Medicago truncatula: one gene and its partner. Each later gene encodes a partner of the first gene's protein in a complex. Links are inferred from orthologs where the notes say so. Each region holds a gene or a part of one and is shown on either strand. Other genes may lie near its edges.

Region 1 (5,936 bases):
GTATCCAGCAACAAATTCTCAGGCTTTAATAGATGAAACATAGTAACATGTTAATTTTTTATTCTTTTTTCCAGGCTTTTATCTCTTTCACACACACACACACAAGCTCTTCATGGTTAGGTATAGGATGTTATTCAAATGAAAGATCTCATCGAAAACTTACAGCAGCTTGCTAAACAAAAGCTAAGAGAAAAAAGAGTAAGGGTATTACTGGCATAAAATCTACAATTGGATTCAAAAAAGCGTAGGCTTCAAGTAATTTCGCCATATTCCTTCTGGGGAAAAATTAATTTTTTACTGAAATTATTTTAAAACATGTAATTTGAAGCCAACACCAGCACCCCATCTCCTCTTTAAAAAAGGAAGCAAAGGAAAAATGTGAAGGAGAAAGTAATACACACCTTTAGGTCTCTGTGGCAAACACCTCTACTGTGACAGTAATCCACAGCACATATAAGCTGCTGAAAATATTTTCTTGCTTCATCTTCTTTCAACCTCCCACTGCGAGCCTGTCTCAATTTAATAACAGAAAAAATCAACAAAATAAGAGGTAATAGAAGGACAACACTAATATAAGGAATTTAGGCCTTCAAAGCACACACGAAGGTAAAAACCGCCTTACAATTTTATCAAACAGCTCCCCACCAGTCACGAGTTCCATTACAATGAATATCTTTGACCTGTTAGCTATTACCTACACAAGGAATTTGTAGTTTACAATACAGAGAGCAGTTAGAAAAACTGAAAGAATAAACTGGGAAAATATGAGAATAGAAGCAAACCACACAAATGTAAAATACATGGAAGCAATCATTTACTGCCTACTAACCTCATGCATGCGTATGACATTTGGGTGTCTAATCAGTTTCATTGTTGATATTTCTTGTTTTATCTGCATAACAGTGAACAACAGAATATCAGCAAAGACTAGAGTATTTATGCTTCAGAAAAACAAAATAAACCCCAAAATTTAGCAGAAGTTGTTCATACTAAGATTTATTACGGTCAAGCAAACCATGCCTACGCGAGGAGGATTTCAACAACAATGTTTCATTGAAATGTAACTTCAAAACTATAGACTACTAAACGTTTTCTCAATACCACACAAAACACAGTTTAAACTCGAATAGCTGCCATGTTTAACTGTTGCCAACACATAAAATAATTAGAAAGCAAGTAATTAATTAATAATATTAAGAAATGTCTTACAAATAATTATATGAGATATAATCAATCAAACAAATACTTTATATGATTAATCAGCACCTCATAATAAATGGCGACTGAGGTGGAAAAGTGAAAAGAACCATCCCAGAAGCATAGACCACTTTTGCTTTGGTCAGAATGATGAGATAAATAAATAAGGTTATGGTTAATGAGGGGTAACCTTGGCCCAACTGGTAAAGTTGTTGTCATGTGACTGGGAGGTCACGGGTTCAAGTCCTGGAAACAGCCTCGTGTAAAAACAGGGTAAGGCTGCGTACAATACACCAAATGGTGGGACCCCTTCCCGGACCCTGTGTATACAACAACAACAACACCCAAGCCTTTTCCCACTAAGCCTTTTCCCGGACCCTGCGTATGCGGGAGCTTTAGTGCACCGGGTTGCCCTTTTATGGTTAATGAAATGGCAAAACAGACTTCGGTTATTCATGTTCGTCCCTGGTTTGTACTGTCATGGATATGTTTCATGAAGACCCCACTAGTTTCTTTTAATTGAATGATGATGGCACCCATTAGTTTTGTTTCCTTCACAGCAATATTCAAACTTCTAGATTTTTCTTTTGTCAAAGTTTAAGTTATCAGAGACACTAGCAAGTAACTGAGAGTTTCGATGTAACATCCAACACGTTTAGGGAAATGTCTTAATAACTAACATCTTTTTCCCTAATTTTATTCATATTTTTAAGCTAAATTCTGATGGGAAGTTTGAAAATCCAACACACTTTCTCTAAGTCCAATTTCATTATTCTTGACATGTTTATGATTTCCATGCCTCGTAAGTCAGAAAGTGTAAACTGTTTCTTTTTTGCCTAGTAACGAGGATACTGATGAGAAGAAGAACCTTTTTGAAGTTTTATAAAGAACAAAGGTATAAACAAGAAACATTTTTGCGGCTATCAGCAGTGTATGACGTCTCTTGGTTGGAGCACAATGTTATCACCTTTGTCAGTTTCGTATACGGATATTCTTTTGAATTCTCTTCAGTAATCTACCCAAGAATCAAGACGCATTATTGTTTCAACAGAGATAATCTCATAAATTTCAATGACAGAAAACTATTCCAACGAGAAAAATCAGATAATAACATTCCCTACACATAACACTAACAGAACTTGACACCAAAACTAAGAAAACAAAAAAAGAAGTCAAACTCTTTAGTGTCTCCAATGATGATCCGTGTTCGAATCTCAACTCTATCTTGGTCAACCCTAGTATTCCACACTTAATCAATTCATTTTCATATTTACATTTATTTTTTATTTATTAACTTTCCAATGAATAAGATCATGGTTCTTGTGGAAGAACAGTTCTTTCAGTTGACATCCACAGATGAACTTGCTCCAGTAGTCAAACCGGAAAAGAACAAATTATCATCGGTAGGAACCCATTTAAGAGCCACAACCAAGGATGGCTAATTCAATGAATTTAAAAAGTTGTTTTTCTTATAAATATGATCGGAGGGAGTATCTATTAAGCCTCTATTTGGTTCTGCAGCAAATTTTCCCGTTAGCTCAAAACCTCGACAATATTTTCAGAAGCTCTATTTTCTAGATTCTAAAAATCACGGCAACTTTGCATTGATATCACTGCAAACGTATATATTCGATTATCAAACATGCAACCAAACAAGTACTAAGTTTGTTCTACAACATCTTTTCTTACCAGCCAAGAAATAAAAAAATCAAACCAAAAACACACAAAATTAAATTAATAATTCCATTAAAATAAGTAAATTAATAGTCAAACCCCAACACCAGCTTAAAAACTAAACAAAAAGATAAGTTAATAAACAGTGGTAAATGATCAATTAACATCTCTAAACGAAGATTAGTCAACGCTTACACAACAACAGTAGAAACTTCGTATCTATAACATAATAACCCAGAAAGCTAAGATATAAAAACAAATAATTGATTTAACAATTAAAACAAAGAATTAACCTGACGAATCATTTTATGCTTGAGAATTTTCTCTTTATCAAGTATCTTGATAGCAACATGATCACCAGTTTCAATGTGTCTCGCAAACTTCACCTTCGCGAAATTACCTTCACCTAACGTCCTACCCAGCTCATACTTTCCCGCCTTCGCTCGTCCGCCGTTGCTGCTTCCTCCGCTGATATGCGACGAACGTGACGTCATCTTTTTTTTCTCTCTCTCTTTTTTCTTTCCTTTTCTTTCCTTCCTTTTTCTCTCTATATTCAAACTATTTCACTATGATTATATGATTATATGATTATATATTAGAGCCTCTTCTTCTTACAAGGTTGCCACACTTGAGATTTTGGGAGTCTCATTTTTTCTTCTTTCTTTCCTTTTTTGTTGTTTCTTCTCTATCCAACCAAACAAAGGAATCAGAAATGGAAGAATCTAAAAGATTTAACGTTTGTGATTGAGGTAAATGGTCGGTGGTTGATCGTTGACCGTTGGATCAAAAGAGAAAATCATGATGATGTTTCAGCTGTGTGGAATAAAAACACAAAACAAGGGGAAGGAATTGAGAGAGAGAGAAATAATACTAAGATTTTGATGGTTTTGAAAGAAGAAGAAGAAGAAGAGAGAATGGTCAATGAAATGAATGAATGAAATGAATAAGAGGTTTATGTGAGGAAGGCTCATCTAGCAAGGTCACATGTGTCATAATTGTCAAAATCGAATATGCCATTGGATTTGGATTTTTATCTTTTCAATTTAATGCAGTTGGATTTGGATTTTGTCTTAGGTTGCATTGAAATTATAAAATTGTAGTAGATCCTCCGGTCACTAATATAAGCAAAAATATATTTTTTAAATATATTCAATTAATGATGTATATAACATATAATAAAGACCACATACATCATTAACTGAATGTATCTAAAAAATTAGATTTTTGCTTATATTAGTGAGCGGAAGGTGTATTTTTTTACTACTATATTATAGAACACGTATTCCCATGACAAATATATTAATATTTTTATTTTTATTTTTTTGATATTAAAATATATGTTTTTTTTTTCTACAATAAAATAAAATATAAGTATTTATAATATCAATCCACCCATTCTTCAACAAAGAAAATATCATTCCGCCAATGAAAGTCTTACCAATGTCTTATACCAAGATGCGGACCATTGAATCCAGCAAACAAAACCAGTCCAAATGAAAAGCAAGACAAAACAAAACACATGGGTCATTGATTTTTTCTTAAAAAAAATAAAATTATACCTATTCTTTTTAGAGGAACTACTTACAAACCCGTGCTTCAGCACGGGTTGAATAACGTATCTTGTAAAACAATTGTACAAAAGGAAAAATGAACAAATTATGGAAAATAACTACATATTTCTACAAATTTCCTACCTTTTAATTACAAAGCTTTGATGCATTAGAAGAGCATATCCTAATTAGGAAAACAACATTATAATTAGCATGTTTTTAATTGGAACCAATGAAGGGACCAACGATATGTCATTACATAATAGGCTTAATTACACTTTTGGTCCTCGTGTTTTGGCCTACTCACGAAACTGGTCATGCCCTTTTAAAACAGAACAAAACGGTCCTTCAATTATCATTTTTGTTGCATTTTTCGTCCTACCCCCCATTTTATTCTCCAAAAACGCAAAGAAATGATAGTTTTAGACCTAACCTCTATGCTCAACTATGAAATAAACAAGGAATAAAGCATGTGGGTACAAAGAATTCACTTTATTCAACACACTAACCAAAAAAACCCTAATTTCTAAGATATGTTTCAAATTATGGTTTTTTTTTTTTTGTTAGTGTGCTGAATAGAATAGATTCCTTGTGCCCACATGTTTTATTCCTTGTTGATTTCATGGTTGAGCATAGGGGAAGGTCTAAAACCGCCTAAAACTGTCATTTCTCTGCATTTCTAGAGTTTGAAAATAGGAGGTAGGACGAAAAATGCAACAAAAATGATAATTGAAGGACCGTTTTGTTCTGTTTTAAAAGGGCAAGACCAATTTCGTGAGTAGGCCAAAACACGAGGACCAAAAGTGTAATTAAGCCTACATAATAAGTGAAGATTTATCAAAAAGAGACTAACCAAAAAGGGAACTTTGCCAAAATTTACATCAGTCAAAAGGAAACAAAAGAAATGGCATCCCTACAATAGAAACTGATGAGCATCTACAATAGAAACACCACTCTTAAATACTCCCTCCGTTCCAAATTGTATGACGTTTTGGCCATTTCACACGTATTAAGAAATGTAATTAATATTGTGTGGGGAAGAGAAATTATGAGTTGTTTTACAAAATTATCTTTAATAAATGGTATGGAAAAGATAAATGAAATAATTGAAAGAAGATGAAGTAATTAATAGTTAAGGATATAATAGGAAAAATAACATTAATATTTCATTGGTATTGTAAAGCGATATATAATTTGGGACAAATTTTTTTTCCAAAGCGACATTCAATTTGAGACGGAGGGAGTATAAAATTTCTTTATACTACATCAATGTTTACTAATTTAACTTATTCCAAAAGTGAATGTAGAGTAATTTACTCATTTTGAAAGTAAACTAATATGTTTGGATCTGCTTATGCAATTCATTTATCACTTTTCAAGACACATTCTTTCTCTTTAAGGCCTAAGAAAACTCATCATGTTCAAAAGAGGCTAGATTGGACAACCCCATCATCCCAATATCTTGTTACACTACCTAGAAGCTGAACCCTTGACCTTCTCAACTTGCTCTTCAAT
Region 2 (5,936 bases), on another chromosome or scaffold:
GGATTTTTAAGAAGATGAATTACCTCTTGCCTTTCAATAAAACCTTGCTGCTTGAGATCATATAGTTGAAAGGAAACTGAAATATGAAATTGCAATGGTTTAGTTCTCATTTATTTAAAGAGACGGATGATGTGTATAATAAATTAAAGAAGAGTTTAATGGTGATGCACTGTCACTCTTGACGTCCAATGAAATCTCATGATATTGCCACATAATCTCATTTTGTAACTGCAATTTAAAAATTACCGCATAGTGCTGGATTCTGATTGGATGCCAGTGCAAAACTAGTTTACACTGACGGCGCATATCCCCTTTTCTCATTAAAGAATTTACTCTAAATGTGCTTTCTTAAAATTTAGAAGCTGAATTACTGAGAATTCAGCCTAAAATAATAAAAGAAAAATATACAACATACATTCAATCTTATCATCAATAGGGGCATTTGGATGGAAAACGGATAGGGCACGAGCGAACTCTTCAAAACCTAGTATCCCATTGTGCTTTGTATCAAATAAATCAAATACCTAATAGAGTTAGAGAAAAGCTCGAGTGAGATACCAACCACATGGAATAATAAGAATCGGTCATTAAACATAACAAAGGAACAAAAAATTAAGTAGAAACGATAATTAATCCGGTCCGGAAAGTGATTTTTCTTGAAAATATGTGTGTAAGGGAACATGTGATAAACAAAACATATGAACAGGATAGTAAGCACTGTATATTAAGGAAATGCTGTAGCCAGTGTTGTCAAATAGCGGCTATAGTGAAACGGAATTTTAACAAACTGCTACTATTCCGCGATACACGATTTACTACAAGATGTTATCAAATAGCAGCTATAACAGTGCTATAGGGAATTTGAACAAGCCACTACTTTCTGCGATCTGCAATTGACAAAACTGATTGTAGCACCTTAATTTACATGGTGAAACTACACTAATTTTTCCGGTACACTAACTAACTTGAAATCCTATTATATGATGTTATCTAACTTCTTAGTTACACCTACAAACATTTACCAGAGGTACAAAGTTGAACAAAATTTTCTTGATTCTCATGTTCAATGAACTATTCAATTTATGTTGTCCACACCATATACCAGTGTGCAAAGTAAATTTAACGCTTTCTTGGATTTCCCATAAAATAGAAAAGAAAACATTGTGATAAAAATATCTTCAGCAAGTATAAATCAAAATAAGAACTAACATAATAGCCCGGAGATAAACATATTTGCACAAAACAGATAGAATAGAAGGGAAAGCAGTACCCGATCAGCAAACAAACTTTCTTTTTTATTCGTCTTGAACAATGCCAATTGAAACTCTTCCTGCAAGATGAGCACTAAAATTGAATATAACATCGGATAGATTTTTTAAAACTAAAACCTTTTCAAAGAAGGAAAACAATAAAATAAAAAGAAAAATTGTCATATCATATAAGTATAGACAATGCATACAACTTCAACATAATATGCCAAACCAAACAAAAGTTGTTCAATGACAAAAGAGGACAAACCTTGTTAATCAACCCATCATCAATTACAGCACTGCTGATCTTTTTGAAGAGCTCATACAGTGCTTCTATTTCACTAACACTGACTGCATACATATTCAAAATAAACAGTCATCTTTAGTACAAATATTACATACTCATTTCCAAACCAATAGTGTGAAAGATGATAGAATCAGCAAACAAAGAGATAATCACATGTTCTATGCCGTTTCTTTTTTGTTCTAGTTCATCAACGTTAATTACTTTACCTTAAAATTCAACGGAATATTGCATGATACAGTATTTCAGAAGCAAGTATTCTCAAATCTCAATCATCAGACACTTCACAGATGTTGGCATATTAAAATTCTTTTGTTATCTAGTTTTGCAAATAGTATCAAGTAATGAATCAATAGAATAAAGTAGCATTAACAGCGTACACACTGTCTCCCTTGCAAGAAGTTCAGGATCTTCAAGGCCTCTTGACTGGTTATTTATATCAATGTCACAACAACGCAATACAGAAGCAAGTAGAGACTTGAATCCCTCTAAGCACTGCAACATGGTATCTCTTGCAAATCAGAATTCTCCATAACTGTTCCATGAATAAATCAGTTAGATATTCCCATGTAGTTCATTTATCATTAAGTCATCGTAAGATGGCACTTGAGTGCAAACCTTTTAACCATTTCCAATTTCAGGTGACAATCCCAAATAGCACGATCTGTGAAATTTAAAAAATAAAATCAGAACAAAATTGGAATACATATCTGCCAGTCAGACCATCACATTCTGATATCAGCAGAAAGTACACAAATTGAAAACACAACTGCATAACAAGTTCCATATTTTAACCATGAAATTGTTACATCATACTAAAAGTATCAGCATTCAAAAGCCATGAATTGTACATTGCTCATTTCCTTTCTCTGCGAAAAACATAACATTGTGAGCATAAATTTGTACTCAATGAACCCCCAAACTATTTATACACGTCTATCAACACTCCTTATATTAATTCAGGATGTTTGGTTGTCGTAGTTTTGCCACACGGAACCTTCATATATTCAAGGAATTGACTGATAAGGAACTCCATAAACAACCATACACAAAAACAGCGGCAACTAGAATCAAGGCTTATATTTAAATTAGTGGAAAGGGATGGAATGAAATTATAATAGGTTATGTAATTTGGATTGTTTGAAAGGAATAAAAATAAAAATAAACTATAGAATAATAATTTTGCTATATTCCACTCCATTTCAATCCATAATAAATTCCAAAACACGGGGCAATGCTATGTTATCACATCAAAATTCAAATTCTTGATAAATACTCAATCCTATAAACCACAACAATCACAACTCTCATCATGAACCACGCCACTATAATAGCTGATAGACATGGATCCATAACGCAACACCAAATTCAAAATTCAATATCCACAATCCAAAATGATTCAAAATTCAAGATAATCCACTTTTCACATACCCCTTAACTCATACATAAAGAATTCACCGATCTATATAAACAAGCAAAAAATCAACATGTAGAAAAACAAAAAAGAAAGGAAATTTAGAGAAAAATAAAGAACACCGCATCAAAAAACATGATAAAAACATGCACAGAAGTATGATCAATGATTAATGAGCAATAAGGTGAAGTGGGTAGGGATAAAAATCAAACCTTGATGGAGGTAGAGATGATATGAGCAGAAAACAGAGAAGTATAAAGTGGTGGAAATGGAGTTTTGGATGGTTGGGATTTTGAAGGTTCACAGCAGAGGAAGTGCAGGGGAGGGTGATGAGAATGAGACTGTGGTATGGTCGATGACAGGTAGAGTACAAAGAGTACAACCCACACATAACTTTCACCTCAATTATAGGGTGGCCATCAAGTTATTTTTCAGCATTTGATCAATAAATGTGCCTCTAAATTAAATGAGATATCATGTAATTTATTGTTTGTAAAAAAATAAATGTAATTTATTGATTCAATTGTGTAAGAAAGATTTGGTGTATTTATGATGCCAAATCATTTTACTTATGTTTTGTCAAGTAAAACTTACGTGTAAATGATACTCCCTCCGTCTTAAATTGTATGACGTTTTGGGCATTTCACGTATATTAAGAAATGTAATTAATATTGTGTGGGAAAGAGATATTATGAGTTGTTTTAAAAAATTATCCTCAATAAATGATATGAGAAAGATAAATGAAGGAATTGAAAGAAGAGAGAGTAATAAATAGTTAAGGATATAATAGGAAAAGTAACATTAATTTTTCATTGGTATTGTAAAGCGACATATAATTTCGGACAAATATTTTTTCTAAAGTGACATACAATTTGGGACGGAGGGAGTAAGTGATATTTAAATAACTAAAATGACGACAATTTTTAGGACATTGTATATAAACATATAAAGTGAGTGTGAATTGTTTGGGTAGAATGGTAAAAAAAAACAATAGGAACATGGCTAAGCATGGGGCATCAAGCATTAACAAAGTCTGAGTAACTCATACGGAGGAACTTGCCAAAATATCACATATAACCTAGAAGAACATATGAATTTCGCTGAGAAATTCGAGCAACACTTTCCCTCTCAAAGCACATCTCGGTAAAGACATGTTATGAAGGTGCTCCTTCTGACTAAAAAATTTCACCTACAAAGAAACATATACAAGCATGTGTGAGTGATTTAGATGTTGAAGAATATGGAGTTGTGAAGAATTTATCTTGCAAATAACCTGTTGAATAGAGTCGTTGCTAAACAACATTGTGCATCTCTCTGCTTCCTTTTATCGTACTTGTGGGCTCTAATTGAAACCCATAAGCTTATCACGAAAGGATGTAGTTGGTGTTGATGACTTAGAAATATTAGAAGGTTTTCTTAACACACACACATCTTCCTTTTATCATACTTGAGGCTCTGATTGGACCCATAAGTTTATCACAAAAGGACGTAGTTGGTGTTGATGACATAGAAATATGAGAAGGTTTCTTAACACACACAAGTGTTTTTTATAGAGGTGTTCAAATTCAAGTCAAAACTGCATATTGATAAAAAAAAAATTGAAATCACACAAAATCAAATATATCAAAACGATCAAACAACATAAGTATATTTTAATCCTTAATTTTTATTACATTTAGATTAGATAAATTTTGATAATTGATCCAAACTCCATCGTGAACACACTCAATTCTTTAAAGAAATGCATGTAAAATAAAATGTTGAGTTGAGTCTCCCCCTATAAAATAAATGAAATTGACTTTACCACAAACTAAATATTTTTTGAGTTATGCTAACTTGCGCCCTTAGATACATGTGAGCTTAGCTTAATTGATAGGAATAATGCATAATATATATAATGTCTGAGGTTTGAATCTCGGACACCACAAAAAAAAATATTGTGCCCTTAGAGTACATATTAAAGATTTCATAAATAGTACCGTGAAAAAAGATTTCATAAATAGTAGATATTTATTATAAAACATTAATTTTCATCATCTACAAAAATAAATTATAACAAATTCCACTTTGAACTCTTAGGGTGTGTTTGGTTGTGAGAAGAGAGAAATAGGTGAGAAAGAGTATGTGAAGAGAGAAATATAGTAGATTTGATGGATTGTTTGGTATAAGAGAAATAGAAGAGAAAGAGATGCTACAATTTTTTAAAAAGACAAAAATATCCTTTAATAAAAACATGTAATTTATGACGTTTGCGTTGAATCCACTATTACAATAGTTTTGTCACTACCAGAAAAAATAGTTTTATATATATTTTTGACGTAATGATTTTGTATCTTGTAAGTTGTATACATTAACTCACTTATTTTTTCGTAAAAAAAAATAGTAACTTATTTTTGTCTCAATAAAAATGTTACGGTATGTTGGATTCATCATGTGTTGATATTTCTTTCTTATTATTTTCATACGGTAATATCATGTGCTGGCATAATTAGTTAAAAAAAAAAAAAAAAACTAAACAAATGGAAGAGGAGAAAACAAAGGGTAATTTTGGAAGATACAGAATAAACAAGTCTTTCTTCTCTCTTTCTCTTCAGTTTTGTGAAGACTCCAAAAAGAAATGGTTTCCACGTCTGTGTGTCTCTCTTCTCTAATTCTTTGCTGAACCAAACTAAGAAATACAACATTTCTCTTGTATCTCTCTCACCTACTTCTCTCTCATAAATCACCTCTACCAAACACAGTGTTCGTGTTAATGATGTGCGTGCCAGCACATGTTAGTATTTCCTATATTTTTTAAGGGTTTTATAGAAACTTTGTATTAGAACTTGTACATTCAATATTAAATACTACCTCCGTCCCTAATTATAAGACCCTTTTGAGAATTTTTTTTGTCCCGTTTTATAAGACCCGTTTTCTATTTTCAACTATATTAATTATTTCTTTACATACATGCCCCTATTTATACATA

Evidence for each region. Proteins that work in one complex are often made in the same cells at the same time.
Region 2: CBL-interacting serine/threonine-protein kinase 23 (region 1) and calcineurin B-like protein 3 share a complex: the UniProt entries of both Arabidopsis thaliana proteins name them as parts of the K(+)-channel calcium-sensing kinase/phosphatase complex. The link is inferred for Medicago truncatula from reciprocal best matches to the Arabidopsis thaliana genes CIPK23 and CBL3.

Annotation. Positions count from the first base shown.
Region 1 is NC_053043.1:21,923,432-21,929,367, forward strand, and holds the start of CBL-interacting serine/threonine-protein kinase 23, read right to left. Parts: upstream 3,780-5,936; 5' UTR 3,366-3,779; coding exon 3,165-3,365; intron 893-3,164; coding exon 830-892; intron 695-829; coding exon 623-694; intron 510-622; coding exon 402-509; intron 24-401; coding exon 1-23. UniProt on the Arabidopsis thaliana protein: CIPK serine-threonine protein kinases interact with CBL proteins. Binding of a CBL protein to the regulatory NAF domain of CIPK protein leads to activation of the kinase in a calcium-dependent manner.
Region 2 is NC_053044.1:27,322,709-27,328,644, reverse strand, and holds the start of calcineurin B-like protein 3, read right to left. Parts: upstream 3,366-5,936; 5' UTR 3,181-3,365; intron 2,219-3,180; exon of another isoform or gene 2,173-2,218; intron 2,090-2,172; 5' UTR 2,059-2,089; coding exon 1,935-2,058; intron 1,602-1,934; coding exon 1,519-1,601; intron 1,331-1,518; coding exon 1,271-1,330; intron 525-1,270; coding exon 416-524; intron 77-415; coding exon 24-76; intron 1-23. UniProt on the Arabidopsis thaliana protein: Acts as a calcium sensor. CBL proteins interact with CIPK serine-threonine protein kinases. Binds calcium ions. Binding of a CBL protein to the regulatory NAF domain of a CIPK protein lead to the activation of the kinase in a calcium-dependent manner.